2 linked regions of the Notamacropus eugenii genome follow. The protein of the gene in region 1 binds, or shares a complex with, the protein of each later gene. Links are inferred from orthologs where the notes say so. Each region holds a gene or a part of one and is shown on either strand. Other genes may lie near its edges.

The links. Proteins that work in one complex are often made in the same cells at the same time.
Region 2: the proteins of SART3 (region 1) and USP15 are in contact, whole or in part, in a crystal structure (PDB 5JJW), measured with the Homo sapiens proteins. The link is inferred for Notamacropus eugenii from reciprocal best matches to the Homo sapiens genes SART3 and USP15. Residues at the interface, in NP_055521.1 of Homo sapiens: Ser438, Ser439, Lys440, Glu443, Gln490, Arg493, Glu494, Trp496, Asp497, Met500, Thr501, Ala505, Trp511, Tyr514, Arg533, Cys537; in NP_001239007.1 of Homo sapiens: Ser23, Leu24, Asp48, Trp50, Gly121, Met122, Phe123, Val124, Lys125, His126, Lys128.

What each region holds. Positions count from the first base shown.
Region 1 is NC_092875.1:23,490,416-23,497,978, forward strand, and holds the start of SART3 (squamous cell carcinoma antigen recognized by T-cells 3), read left to right. Parts: upstream 1-4,560; 5' UTR 4,561-4,575; coding exon 4,576-4,869; intron 4,870-7,563. UniProt on the Homo sapiens protein: U6 snRNP-binding protein that functions as a recycling factor of the splicing machinery. Promotes the initial reassembly of U4 and U6 snRNPs following their ejection from the spliceosome during its maturation.
Region 2 is NC_092874.1:239,034,325-239,041,998, reverse strand, and holds the start of USP15 (ubiquitin carboxyl-terminal hydrolase 15), read right to left. Parts: upstream 3,014-7,674; 5' UTR 2,903-3,013; coding exon 2,814-2,902; intron 1-2,813. UniProt on the Homo sapiens protein: Hydrolase that removes conjugated ubiquitin from target proteins and regulates various pathways such as the TGF-beta receptor signaling, NF-kappa-B and RNF41/NRDP1-PRKN pathways.

The sequences.
Region 1 (7,563 bases):
AAATTTTGTTATTTTTTTCTAGTTCTATAAAATAATTTTTTTGTGGTTTGATTGGCATAGCACTGAAAAATTAAGTTAATTTAGACAGAATTGTCATTTTTATTATATTAGCTCAGCCTATCCATGAGCAAGTGATATTTTTCCAGTTGTTTAAATCTGACTTTATTTGTGTGAAGTGTTTTGTAATTGTATTCAATTGTGTTCCTGGGTTTGTCTTGGCAGGTAGACCCCCAAATATTTTACATTTGCACATTCTTTCTTCTCTGAAATCCATTAGTCCTTATCTTGTCTGGTATTTTGCTCTATGTTTCTGTCCCCAGTCCTTCACTCTGGCATGTGATTGATGGAGCAAACACATTCAGAACAAGAAGGGACCTCCCAGCTCCTGTAGCCCAACCTTCATGTTTTACAGAGGAGGAAAGTAGGGCCATCAGTGGGAATGGCTTGTCCTAGGTCACCAACCAGGAAATGTGAGGACTGGGCTTCAGGCTCAAATCCCAGTACCTTTCTGTTGTGCCAGGCTGTGGTGACCCAACAGGGTGGAGAGTCACTCAGTCTTTGGCTCTCTGTTTCTCCATCTGCAAAAAAAGAGGGAGTTGGAGCAGGCAGCCTCCAACGGCCCTTGCAGCTCTAGATCTTTTCTCCTGGAAAAAGAAAACTTGATTTGGAGTCCAAGGACTTGGGTCAGATTCTGAGTCTGACCTCACTCAAGCAGACCACTTCTTCTCTCTGTGTCTCAGTTTCCTCCTCTGTAAAATATAAGATGTCCATGGACTATGCCAGGGGCTCTTAACTTTCTTTGTGGCATGGACCCCATTGGCAATGAGTCTGGTAAAAGCTATGGATCCCTTCTCAGAATGTTTTTTAGTGCATAACATCATATTCGTGATTACAAAGTAAGTCAATTATATTGAAATATATATGTATATGTGTATGTATACATATATACATACATACATACATATATAAAAGTTCAGGAACCTCAGGTTAAGAACCTCATAAACTGTTTGATTTCTAAGGTGAGCCAATCATTAAGTGTATATTACATACTTACTGTGTGCCAGCCACTGTGCTAGACACTGGGGATGCAAAGTCAAACCAAACATTTTCTGTCCTCAAGAAATTTCTGTTGGGGAAAACTCTATAGTATGTATGTAGCAGTGGTGGTGGTGGTGGTGGGGAGCAGTGAGCAGGGTTAGAGTGGGCCTTTAGAGGTCAAGTCCAGCCCCCTAATTTTATAGATGAAGAAACAGGCTCAGAGAGGTTAACTGAGTTGCTCAGGGTCAACCAGCAAGTGTCTGAGGCAAGATTTAAACCTGGGTCATCCTAGGTCCAACACTATCCCCTGTCCTCTGCTGCCACTGTGAATCTCCTTACTGACTCATTGCCTAGATGGGTTTCCTGGTATAAACCTTTTCTTTATATTCTGGTGAGGTGTAACAAATGAATCTCTAATTCTGCTTCTGTCCCTCTTCCCCTCCTCTCTTTCTATTTCTATCTCTCTCCATCCTTTTTCTCCTCTTTCTCCCTTCCCTTCACCCCTCCAAGCCCCTATCAAGGTACAATGCTTTTCCAAACACTCATTTTTAAAACTCTCTCATCCAGGAATGTTCTTCTCTTCCAATAAATATACTCACATGAGCAGTGCCTGTGTTTAGCACTTTAATGCTTTAAGGGTCCCTCTGAGACCCTTTCCCTGCTTTGCCTGTGTTATGGTAGATACTTGGTCATCCGTATGTCTTCTCCTCCATCAGACATAAGTCAAAGTGACTTCCTGGAAACAGCCCTCATGTGCAGAGGGAAGAGCTAGGGGCGTCCCGAGGGAATCATTTATTATGGCCCATTCTTTTCATTTACATTCACATAGCACAATTTGTTGAGCCATTGTCCAGATGATGAACATCTACTTTGCAGCTTTGTGCTAACCCCCAAATGCTGATGTCAATATTTTGGGGTGTGTGGAGACTTTCCCGGTGGGATGGCTGCCGTTATGGAAGAATCTCTGGGCATTTTAGTAACTTCATTTGCTTAATTCCAGACTGGTGGCATGGATTTGCAGCTTCAATAATGCACTAAAGTACCGGTTGTCCTGAAACCCCTCCAGCATCGACTCTTCCCAACTTTGGTCCTCTGCCAGTCTGTCGAGTGGGAAGCGAACCTTCAGTTGTCTTGATTTGCCTTTCTTATTCCTAGTGATCTAGAGCATTCTTTCAGGTCGTTAGTAATAGTTTGTTCTTCTTTTGAGAACTCTTCCTATCATTTAATCACTTTTCTGTTGGAGAGGGCTGTCTCACAAATCTTGCTGCAGTTTTAAGCTTTAGCATCTCTGTTATGTTTAGAGCCAGAAGCTTTACCAGCTTGTTAATACTACCATGACTTGTGGAATAGCGTACGTGTATATGTGTGTTGTCTAAGTATCTTGGATGCCACATATTTTCCTGTTTTACCACTTAACTTAGATATATTTTGTTTGTGCAGGTTTTCAATTTTATATAACATTAACGTTTTTGATTCCTTCTGTCAATTGAGAAGACATCTTTAGCTGGAAAAGGTCTATGATCCGTTTTCTTCTAAGTTCTTTCCAATATGATCTTTAATATTAAAGTCACACTTTCAGTTTATGCCTGACAGTTTGCAGTTTTTGTTGATGAGGGAGTTTTTTCTGAACTAATTTATGTTTTCCAGTTTATTGAACCCTGGGTTATAGTTTCCGATTCTCCTTTGTCTATTTTTCCATCAGTACCAGATGGTTTTGATGACTGCTGCTTTATAAAATAGATTGGCTCTTCATCCTTAACTCTTTGATTTCCCTTGATATTATATTGTTATTTTATCAGGTTCTGTAAAGTGTTCTTTTGATAATTTGATTAACATGAAAATTGTAAATTAATTTTTGTATTACTGTCATTTTTATCACATTGACATGGTCCAGCCATGAGCATTGAATATTTCTCCAGTTACTTAAGTTTTTATTTCAAGGAGCACTTTGTAATCGGAGCTATTTATACCAAGTCTTTTGTGTGCTTTAGTAAAGTGATGCCTAAATACTCTTGCATTTTGTAGCTTCCTATGGCTCTCATGGAACTGGAGTTCCCCTTCCGTTGATAGGCAGGCCTGGTGGATTCTTTCTTTTTAGGGCTGCCAGGGGCTTGGCCTAGCTTTCTGCAGTCAATGCCAAGCTTCCTTTCCAATTCAACTAGGGAAACTTTTTCATACTTCCTAAGTGGCAACAGAGCAGTAGATAGGCTTTTTTTTCCATTTAGTTTAAATTAATATTAACACTTCACTACCTCAGTTATCTGCCCTTTACTTTCTTTGACTAAACATGACCTGAGTTTAGGGAAATGTCCTGACCAATCCTCCTTACACATGTATGTGCATTTGTATATGTACATATGTGTGTATATATAAATACATTTATATACACATGTACATACATATATACATGTATAGAGTGGGAAAGAGAGTAGTGTGTGCGTGTACATCAAGAGCTAGGTGGAGCAATGGATAGAGCACCAGCCCTGAGATCAGGACCTGAGTTCAAATCTGGCCTCAGACACTTGACACCAGCTGTGTGACCCTGGGCAAGTCACTTAACCCTGGCTGCTTCCAAGAAAACTTAAAAGCTTCCCGAGGCAGGCGATAAACTGAGAAGGTGTATTTGGTCCCCTGCATGGCCTTGGCCTTTCTTTGTAAGAGGAAGCGCCCTGCGTCTGGCTGGGTCAGCCTGGTCTTTAATCACGGTCCCTCCATTCCCTGACCTGGCAGGTGACACCAGGCATCAAAAGGGTCAAACGCAGCACTTTCCACATTAAAAGGGAACAGCCCTCGCTGCCCTGCCGCATTCGCACTGAACTTCTAAGGAAGAAGTGAGGACGGCAGGCATGCCAGGCACGGAGGAAGGTCGGTGCAAAGGTGCGGAGATGGGAGACGCGGACAGCCACCAGGCCCCTTCCAGCAAGCAGCCCCACGGTTCCGGACGCGGGCCGTACTGAGTCTCTAAGGACTAGTCATTTTAATTAACGAGGACAGGTGGGGTGGGGACTTGACTCGTTCCTGGTCACGGGGCTCGGGCTGGGCAGTTTCCCCCGCACCAGGCCCCGGGTCGGCACTAGGACCAGCCGGCGGCGCGGAGCACGGGCCGGCGCGCACGCGCGTCAGAGGGGCAGCGCGGGCTCGGGCTCCAGGGCGCACCTGCGGCAGCACGCGCCCCACGCAGGTCTAGGGACCAGGAGGTAAACCGCCCTTGTCCTTCCCAAGATGGCGCCCGCCCCTGCACGTCCCGCCCCCTCCGCCGTCCCGACCTCCTCTATGGCCCCCACTTCCTGTCCAAAGGACCCCGGAAGCCTGCCCCTCGTCGCGCCGGGACGGACGCGGAGAGCAGGGGTCCCTTCTCGCCCGAGAGGAGGCTGGCTGGGTGAAGCGCCCCACCGAGGCCGCCCAGCCCCTCGGCAGCTTCACAGCCCGGCCTGGCCGGACGGTGACCCGGCGCGGCCCGGGCAGCCTCGGCGTCAGCGCTGACGTCACGGCGTCGTAGGCGTCGGGCTCGCGGGGAAGAGACGCGGGCGGCGCAAGATGGCGGCGGCAGCAGCAGCGGCGGCCGCTTCTGGGCCCCGGGCGAAGGCCCCGGCGGCGGGGGCGGGGGCCGCGGCGGCGGAGGAGGCGGAGGACGAGGAGACGGCGGCGGCCTTGGCCGTGGCGGCGGCGCGCGGGCGTCCCGAGCCCGAGGCGCAGTCGGAGGACTCGGGCGGGGGCGGCGACGGCGGCGACGAGGACGAGGACGAGGACCTGGGCTGCTCGTCGGCGGAGGAGGACGACGATGACGAGGAGAAGGAGAACGAGGCGGAGATCCAGCGGCTGGAGGAGCAGGTGCGCCGCGGGGGAGGGGCGGGGGCTGGGGAGGGGGTGGTGCGGCGGCCGTTGTGGGACTGTTGCTCCGGAGCCTCGCGCACGCGCAGTGGGCCCCGCGCGCCCGCGCGCTCCAGACCCACGTGCGACAGACCTTCTAGGCGAAGGACGTGGGGAGGGGCGGGCAGAAACGGGGTCCCCGCCCTCGAGGAGCTCCTCCTCCGGTGGGGGGACCAAACCGCATACCCTTGGGATCAGCGGGACGAGAACGACCTATCGGAGACGAGGGGGAAAAAGGGAGGGCAGGCCTGGTAGGGGGCACGGCCGGAGGGCAGGCCTGGAGTCGGGAGGAGGGTCTTGGGTGATGATGGAACATCATCCAGTAAGAAGACTGGAAAGGCAGGAAGGGGCCAGGTTTACCAGCCTAGGGGTCGGTAATGTTCCAAGTTCTAGTCCCAGCAGCCCCACACTCCCTGCGGCTCGGCTCTTTAGAAGGCTGGTGTGCTCGGGGTCGGGGCACTCCCACGGCCTCGGCCTCTTTGGCCCAGGGAGGAAGTGAAGACGTGGGGGCCGTCCAGTGTGAATGTAGAAGCCACCAGGCGCTGGAGGCTCGCGCTGTGTCCCCTGCAGGGCATTGTTGTTGCTTTTGCGTCCTCTGTCTCTGAACACGCCCTCGTCCTCCTCACCTCGCCTACCTGCCCCTCCTCCAGCAGGCTGGAAGAAGGCCGGCCACCGTGCAGCCTGCATCTCAGCCCTTCCAAGGTCAAACCTGGCCATTCCAACGCTCCTAACCGTTGGGTGACTGGTCTCGGACCAGTAGATTTACATTATGAAGCGAGTTGAGTTGATGGGGAGCTGACCCTGCATGGGAGGCCTGCCACGTCCGAAGCCGCTGGCCCGTGCAGGGCTCTCCCTCCGCCCCAGGCTGCGCTTACCTGCCCTTTTATCCAGGTAGCCTTGGGCCTCTAGTCTGTGTGCTCCGGGCTTTGCCTTCCTAGCTCTCCACTCCTCTGGTCCTTCCCGTCTCTGAAGACAGTAGACCGCGATCAGACACTCCGGGACAGGCTTCCTGACAGACTGGGGGAGCTGGACGAGACCTCATCATTCATCTGTTCTCGTTTGTTACATGTTACCGAAGGAGCACGTCGGTGTTTGCGGAGAGTAACAAACCTGGCAGTGTTCCAGCGGCGTGCGAATCCAGCCCAGCGCAGTCAGCAGCCTTATTGCCCTTGGCTGTCTGACCTCCCTGCCCTCTTGATGAGTTGGTTGGACCAATGAGATGTTTCCTTCCTAGAGTTCCAGGGTACTGTCCCTCTCCTCTCAGGCTTGAGCAGGAACTAGCTTGGTCAGAATTCTCTCACCCGTTGGCTAATTCTTACCTTCCCATGGCTTTAGTTTGGCTGTTGACATGGCATGAGGAGGTCCAAGGAGAATGTACATGTGCTTACTAGTTAGATGTTGATGTGTGTGGTGTGATCATGGTGCCTCATTTTAATGAATCTCAAGATGGCCATCTCTCATCGCATCAACACAGCATCCCAGATGTGGAAGGGAGGGATCTCCAAGGGAATGTGGTCCAGCCAACCTTGTTTTGCAGGGGAGGAGGGACCCAGGGAGGAAGGAGCAGAGCCAGGATGTGACCATTGGACCACACTGTCACTTGTCATGTCCATCTACACAGAGACCTTTCTTGCTCTAAAATAGTCATAGATGTTGTAATTAATTTAAAGAGACCTGAAATTTTAGGAATGAGAAAAATTGAGTCTATTGGTGATTTTCCTAAGGCCGTATGTGTATATCTGTCTGCATACATAACAAGGTGGTGGTAGATCCAAGGACCTCCCCAGTCATACAGGAGTGCACCTCATATACCACCTCCCCATCCCATTATATAGTGAAATGAAAATGACTGTGGACTAGAAGACTGAGATTGAATTCTGTCACCACACTGAGCTGGTGAGTCTCCTCTCTGTAGTGGACCCCGAAGAAGCTCTGGATTTTTGAGCCCTGAACATCTGGTTTCCGATCCCAGCTCTGCTCTGAGTATCTGTGCAGCCTTGGCTAAGGCACTTTACTCTGGGCCACAGCTGTCTGCAAAGCAAGAAGATGGCACTAAATGACCTCCAGAGGACTGCGATTGTAACTGGCTCTGAAATGTTACTATTTTAAGTTTTATTTCTAAGTTTTTGTGTATCCCATCAGGAGAAAATTAAGTAGAGGTGTGATTAAAAAAATTATTGCTTTATAAAAACACTTCTGATTTTGTCCTTACGAGCCATGGCTTTGTTGCTGTATCTTTCAGTGAGAAACATCAGTTTATATTTGTACAGCACCTTTTTAAAGAACCCTGTCATATTTCCATCCCTCTAGAATTGAGGAGCCTTTAACACTGAGAGGTCCCATAATCTGACCAGTGCTGCATAGGCAGACTGAGCTGGTCTTTCCTAATCCTCCCTGCTGTGGCCTCGCTGACAGCCAGGCTGCTTTTTTAGGTTCAACAAGGTCAAGCTGGGTAGGGCTCATTTTTCCCAAATGTTATCATGTGGTCATTATAATGAATACCATGATATGTTGGTTCTTCCCCCTGGCTGCAATGTGCTTTTTTAATTATAATGATAACCATATGATTTTTAATTTGAAGTTAAAAGCTCTCCCCTAGAAGTTGTTCCTGATGCTTGTTACTCTGAAAACTTTTACTTTTATTCTTTGTAAAGG
Region 2 (7,674 bases), on another chromosome or scaffold:
ATGGACCCTTTTGTCTACAAACCTGTAGACAAGATCTCCCCCCCCCATAGGAAACCTTAATCAGGGGTTTGAAAAGTGCTATATAATATGTTATCTCATTTGATCCTCAAAATAACTCTGTAAGCCAGGTGCTATTATTATCCTCATTTTACAGAAGAGGAAATTAAGGCTGAGAGAGGTTAAGTGATCCATTTAGGGTCAACAGCTAGCTTCTGAGGCAAGATTTGAACTGTTTAAAAGAAAAATATCACTTTAATTTAAAAACAATGAACCATGTTACATTTCAATTTAAAAACAAAAACTGATTAATACTACTACATTATCATTAAAAAAAAGCAAAACTCTTTTTTCAGTACTTGGCCAGATTTCCTCTGCTAGACTACAGTTAGAATATAGCCCCCATTTATAAATCAGTCAGGTCTCCCAATATCTACCACAACATATACAATTTCAGCCCCTTTTTGCTTTTCTTTAATTAAAAGTGAAAAATGATGCAATTCATTTACTGCATGATCGAATTTACCTCTAATACCACATCTTGGCCTCACATTCCTCAGTGGTAATATAAAAGGAGTTGGACTACATGATCTCTAAAATTCTTTCCTATTCTAAACCTCTATATATAAGGAGAAAATGTTCTCAGTAACTTTATCATAAAGCAAAAGCTTAACAATTATAACCTTTAAATAAAAATGGGCACATGCATGACAATAGGTATACTGCTCCTAATAAGTGTCATAGATTTCTGACTACAGTATTAAAGCACCTGCACTTTCATTTGTGTACATGTTTCTTCTACCAATCAAAGACTGCAATTCCTTCATGAGTTCAGAAATTGGCTTCATGAATTGCTGTAGCAAAAATTCATCACACTTGGCCAATCTGGCAAGAAGCCTCTGTGAGCTTAGCTAGGTTGATCTTTGGTCTCTACTAGATTTTATCATTAAATGACATTACTAAAAAAGCTGAGGTAAAATTTCAAACCTTGATACACTAGCTTCTGTTTCAAAGCCTAAATTTTCATTATAAGGCAATGTCTTCTTTAACACACAGTAGGACAATTACTGACCACATACTGAAAGAACCATTGCGCCAAGGTTAAACCTGAGTAATCCAGATATGCTCTATTTCTCCAATGATCGGTAAACTTCACACAAGAAGATGAACTATAGAGATTACTAAGAGGCATTAAAACTTGCTTCTTCTTTGTTGTAATCTCACAATTCATTTAAATGTTGAAGGTACATGCCCCATTAAAGTACACAGCTGGTCAGCCAATAAACATTTATTAGGCACCTAACCCAGGCTCTTGGCACTCTGCAGAAGCTACTGAGAAGAAACTACAGCAACTGAGGAAAACAAAATCATTCACTCAGCCCTACAAAATAATGACTTCCAGAAGGCAGGCAATAAGCATTTTTTAAAAAGCACTCACTATGTGCTAAGGACTGAGGATACAAATCCAACCATAAGTCAAGACAGGCTTTGACATTAATGCTTAATTTTCTTCAAACTTTAAATAAAAATCAATCAGAAAAAAAAGCTTTTGTACACTAGCTCCTTGAATTTAGATCGTCTTTTCCTGCATGTAATGCTTATCGATGTGCCTGGAACACAACTGGCTATTAAAGTTTATAAGGGCTTCCTGGATTACTCAGCAAGACCTGAATTCGAGTCTGCCCTCAGATACTTCCTATCTGGGTCCTTAACCCGTCTGTCGGAGTTCCCTCATCTGTAAAATGGGAATAGTAACAGCACCTTCCTCCCAGGGTTGTTATGAAGTTCCAGTAAGATAATAATTGTAACGTGCTTAGTACAATGCCTGACGTCCTTGGTATATAAATGGTACCTATAGTTATGATTACTGACTAAATAAAGCAACCCTTCTTACACATAGCCACATTTACACTTTTAGCTTATTTAGCAGATAAATGTTATTTCGTTTGCTCCAGCACTTAGTACAGTACGTCGAACCACAGCAGGAGCTCAATAAATGCTTACCAACTGATTGACTGTTTGGGGATATGAAAAATTCCACTCCTTGGGATGGAATCACCTGCCTACCTTAGTTGGGTTCTTAAGTAATCTAACTCTAGAGCTTTACCCATACCATCAGCAAGTGAGTTCATCTCCCACGGACTTATCTTTTTTTTGCAGGGCTCTCTTATCCCCTGAGTCAGGAAGGTACGGGCTGAAATTCAAAGCGAACGCCCCCCCCACCCCCCTTCACCGCTGCTCCTGCTGCATGACAAGCTCCCTGGGAAGCCCGAGACCACGTGGGGCCTCCACGATCCCGACTCCGCACTACTCCTCTGACAAGGACCGGGAAACTAGGGGCTCCTTCCCCTCCGGCGGAGCCCCGACCCATGCCACCTGTGCGGCCTGCAGCCTGTCCGGCCCGGAAGGATGCGAGGCTCACCAGACAGGCAAACTTGGCGGTCGGTCCAAGGGGAGGAAACGACGGAAAGAAAGGAAGAGAAGCTCCGGATCCGGGCCGGATGGGACCTGTCCACCCACGCCCCTTCCCTGTCCTCCGCAGGGTCTCACCGGATGAGGGCCCGAGGCTGGGAGCGGCTCGGGAGGGCGGGACGCAGGCAGCAGCAGCCCCCACCCCCCCTCGCGACCTCACACCTCCAGCCTACCCTCTGACCTCCCCGCCACCCCCCCACCAGCGCTCCACGGTCCCCGATCTGACCTGCCCCCCGCCCCCCGCACCTGTCACTCAGCAAAGACACCAGCCCCGGCGCTTCCCGCCCGGCTCCCCCCCAGCAGCCGCGGGCGCCTCAGTCCCCGCCCCGCCCCGTCCCCCTCACCAGGTGTCCCCTTTCCGGAGCGAGGTTTTGAGCAGCGTAGCGATGTCGGACTGCTGGGTGTCCAGATCCGCCGCTCCTCCCTCCGCCATCTTCTTCCACTAGCGGCAGCGGAGGAGGCGGCGACGGCGGCAGCGGCGGCGGTACCGGCGGCAGCAGCGGCGGCGGCAGCGGCGGCGGCGGCACCGCCCCGGAGCATTGTGGGAACACGGCGTCCCGCGGCCCCGCCCCGCCGCCGGGTCGGCAACCTAGAGAGACGTAATGGGGGAGGGGAGGATAGGAGGGGGAGGGAGGAGGCGGAGGAGAGCTTGGCCGGGGAGCGCGCGGGCGTCCTTTGCTGCCCCCTAACGGCCAGTGCCGAGGGCAGCAGCGACAGCACCACCACCTTGAACTTCATTGGCTCTTCCCAGTGCGTAAATGCTGCCTCTCCGCGGTCCGCCACTGGGAGCCCCTGCACTCTCGTTTTATTCGTGGCCCAGTACCGCCCGATCCTCCTCGCTTTCGGCGCCGGTGTCTTCCCTCCCTTCTCTCTCCAGGGACCAGATGTGCGCGAAACCTTATTTTCATGACAACTCTAACGTAATAGGGTGTGTATGTATGTGTGTGTGCGCCTGCGCGTGTCTGTGGCCAGGTGTGTGCAAAACATGACAACTTTGGCTCATAGAAATTGTATGTACGTATGTGTTTGTACTCGTGCCAGTGGCCAGATGTGTGTGAAACATGACAACTCTGAGTTAATAGGGGTTTTGTGTGTGCTCGTATGTGTATGCGCGCCAGTGGCCAGATGTGCAGGATACGTGACTTTAATAGGGGTTGTGTGAATGTGTGGTGTGTATGCACGCCAGTAGCCAGATGTGTGTGAAATGACTGCCTTGAAAGGGTGCGTGTGTGTCTATGAGTGTACGGAGCCAGTGGACAGATGTATGGCAAACATGACAGCTCTAACTTAATAGCAGTTGTCTGCATATGTGTGTATACCCACGCCAATGACCGATGCGTGCGAAACATGACAACTCTAGCTTAATTGGAATTGTGTATGTACGTATGCGCACACAGATGGCCAGATGTACGCGAAACTTTATTTACCTGACAACTTTGGCTGTAGTGTGTGTGTGTGTGTGTGTGTGTGTGTGTGTGTGTGTGTGTGTACATATCTGTACCTGTGCAGGCAGAAGAGCAGCTAAAATATTGCATGACAATTTCATTAGCTTCTTGACTCATGGGTTTGTATCGCAAATACTCTTTGCCTAAGCTACTTGAAACCCAGCTGGAGCAAAAGAGCATTGGAAATTAAAACCCTTGACCATAATGCCGGAACTGGTCGCTCTTCAACTCTCTCCCTCTACCTTCCTACTGGCACCAACTTGTGTGCTATGTAGGGACGGTAATAGGATTCCTTTAAATGATATATCCATCCTCTCGTTCCCCCCAAGTAGACCCCAAACAGCTATAGAAAGCATTTGGCTGCTTCCTTGCGAATGAAACGTTTGACCTACAATAAATTTTGCGCAGATTTTAAAGGTAATAAAAGAAACCCGCATTTACCCTCATGTCAGTGGAGAGTATACCCATTATCGAATAATTAAAAAAGATTTTAAAAATCATTAGATCTGAGGATTTGGCTAATTGAAATCCAAGTAAATTCAGCTATTTTAGCAAAAGATCCAGGGTGGGAATAGAACACAATTGCATCCTTAAAAAAAAATCCAAGGGCTTTGCTAAATGGAATTTTATAAAACTACTCCGAGAGAATCCCCTTTACAGTAAGATGAAGCAATCAGACCATCCAATATGTTGCCTTGGTTATAGGGTCAAGTTGATACTGATAAATAGCAAAGTGATTACCCTAGTTTCACTATCTGTAAATAAAGGCTATATTGTTTTTTAAATATTTTTCAGGGATATGGCTAAGCAAGGTTAATAACATAATTTTAGTGAAACATTTGATTGTAGAAGATCCAGAATATTAGTTTCTTCCATTAAAAATTCTATACTTCTTAACGTAAAATTTGGCAGGTTTCAGACCAAGCCAGAAAAGCTTTTAAGTGTGGATGGGCCAGATTGACTAGATGTCATCTGAGAAACAGCTCAGCTAAGTTTGGAGAAGCTCATCAAAAAAGGATTGGTCACCAAGGGATACTTTTTCTTTTGCTCCAGCAACTCATGAAATTCTTTTAAATATATTAGATGGTTGGGGTCTATGGGACTGGAGAGTGGTTATATCCACACTGATGAAATCTTATCTTTTTTTTTTTTTTGCTCAGTGACCTCACTTCTTACCTAATAATGGGAATTTTCCCCATTGAGCTACCTCTGATTTGAGAGCATAAAAGCACTTTCTAGTCTTTAATTTAGATACTAGAAAAGTAAGTAGGTCCCCAAGTGACTCAGTAGCAAAAAGAAAAAAGTAAAATAAACTAACAGTTTTAACTGTTGACCTCTTCAAAGAATGATGTCCCCACTATTTGTCAGCTCTAGGAAATATGTAAAGTGAAGTGAGATTCTAGAATTTTTTTTGTTTGCTTTTTTATGGTCACCAATGACAACATTTGTTCACTGGATCAACAAACTTTTAGTAAACACCTATTGTGTTCATAGTGCTGGTCTAGCTACTGGGGGAGATAACAAAGTTTATATTAAAAATGGTCTTTGATGCTCTGGAGTGGTTTCATATGGGGATTATACAGACTGAGATACTTACAATTCATTATATTCTACATTAAGTACATTTGAAAAGTATAAAATGAAATATTATGTGAGGTACTTGGGAAAAGGTTCTTACAAAGACAGCTTGGAGTAGTGGTAAGCATACGGACTTGAGAGTCAAGAGAAATGTGTTCAAATCCCCAAGGATAAATCACTTAGCCAGACTTTAAACTGGGAACCTGAGGACTTCACTTCAAATCTCAGTTCTGACATTTACTACTTTCATGACCTTGGGCAAGCCACTGCCTCCCTTTGATCCTGAGTTTTCTTATCTGTAAAATGTGGTATACACAAAGGTCCTTTCCAGCTTTAAATCTATGATCATATGACCTCTTTCTTCATATCCAAAATAGAAATACCTATATAAGGTGAGTTGCACAAAGCATGGCCAGATATTCTGTGTCTAGTTTTGATTGGCCCACTTTGGGACTATTTCCAGATGTATTGACTCATTGCTGAAAGAACTTGCTGTTTTGGTATGATGTGGAAAACCCTGAGTGGTCCTTTTGTCTTCTACTCCTTCTCCAAAATAGCAAGGGATTGAGGTGCAACATCTGTTAAAAGAAATAGCTTCTAGATTGTCCATCTTTGACCATGATGGGTCAAGGTGTAACTCCACTGCGGGGTGGGGAAAGGACAAGGTCATCTACTCCCTACCAACATGGTGATCCCAACAACATGGAAGCTGGTGCTTGGAGGACCCAACTACGTGAGTTTGCTCCTGGGCCTCTGGCAGCCCCTGCCTCTCTTGTGTTTCCTTCTTAGAACAGGTGATTTTATGAGATCAAGATGAGACAGTGGCATCTGAATTGTTCACTCTATCAGGTGGGGAGGACCATTCCATGCCACAGAATATCACCAAGTGCTTTTACCAAAGGGTCAACCTAAGGCCACAAGCAGCTGCAAAGCACCACAGGGTCAACTAGAGGCATGCAGAAAATATCTGTTCTCATTCTGCATAATCCATGTTACATTTGTGTTACCTGCCTCATGAGGTTGCTGTAAGGGTCAAATGGGGCAATGTGTATGAAATGTGTAGTGAACTTCATATGCAATGTGTATTAAAAATACTCTTGTAAATGTTAGGTATTTCCTTCTTCATATGGCCTGGTACGTAGCACTGTGCCTTGTATATATTAGGCACTTAATACATGTTAATAGAATTGAATTGAATTAAATAAGACAACAAAATATGATGTTGGACACTGGAGAAAAAGCAGAAACATTTATATTTTTCTTCTGTTTTCTGTACCAATAAAAATTATCTTCAGACTTGGAAAAATAGATCAAAACCTATTAGTAGAGAGTCTAGAACCAAGATGGATAAGATCATATTTGGCAGGCCTCAGTGAGTTCAGATCACCTGGATGAGGTGAACTTTCACCCAAGGGATGTATGATGCAGTGTAAAGACCACTGATTTTGGAGTCACCAGACCTGAATTTGGATGCTAGCTGTAATTCTTACTACCTGTATGACCTTGCACAAATCACTTAACCTTTCTGGGGTTGAATTTCCTCATTTGTAAAATGGGGGAGTTGGACTCAGCTCTATGATCCTATAGAGAGGAAATGGCTTGAGGGAAGGGTAGGGAAAGGAAAAGTGTAGGGGAGAGTGTGAGAGAGGAAAGTAATCCAATTGGGTCTAAATTTAGAACAGAGGTGTTAGTAAGGAGGCCTACCCACAGGTTAAAATGTAACTGGGAAATATTTAACAAAATAAAAATACAATAGAATATTGATAATGTTAATATGTGGTTTTGTAAGGCAATATGCGGCCTTATATTTGGTTTCATGAGTTTGACATTGATGGCTTATGGATAGTATAAAAGTTGGAAGGACAGAGTGATATCAAATTGGAAAGAGCTTTGAATCAAAAAGATTTTAAACTTAAACTTGTAGGAATAGGGAGCCACTGAAGATTTTTGATCAGTGAAATGATTTAAGTAGTTCTACTCCTAAGCAAGATTATTCTGGCAACAGTATTCATTTATTCAGCAATTGTTTAACTGGAATAAACGAGATACCATATATAAAGTGTTTTGCAAATCCCCAAAATACTATATAAATGCTGGCTATTGTTGCAGCTACTGTTACTGCTACTATTATTACGACTAGAAGGTTTGTCATTTCCTTCTTCGGCTCATTTTATAGATGAAG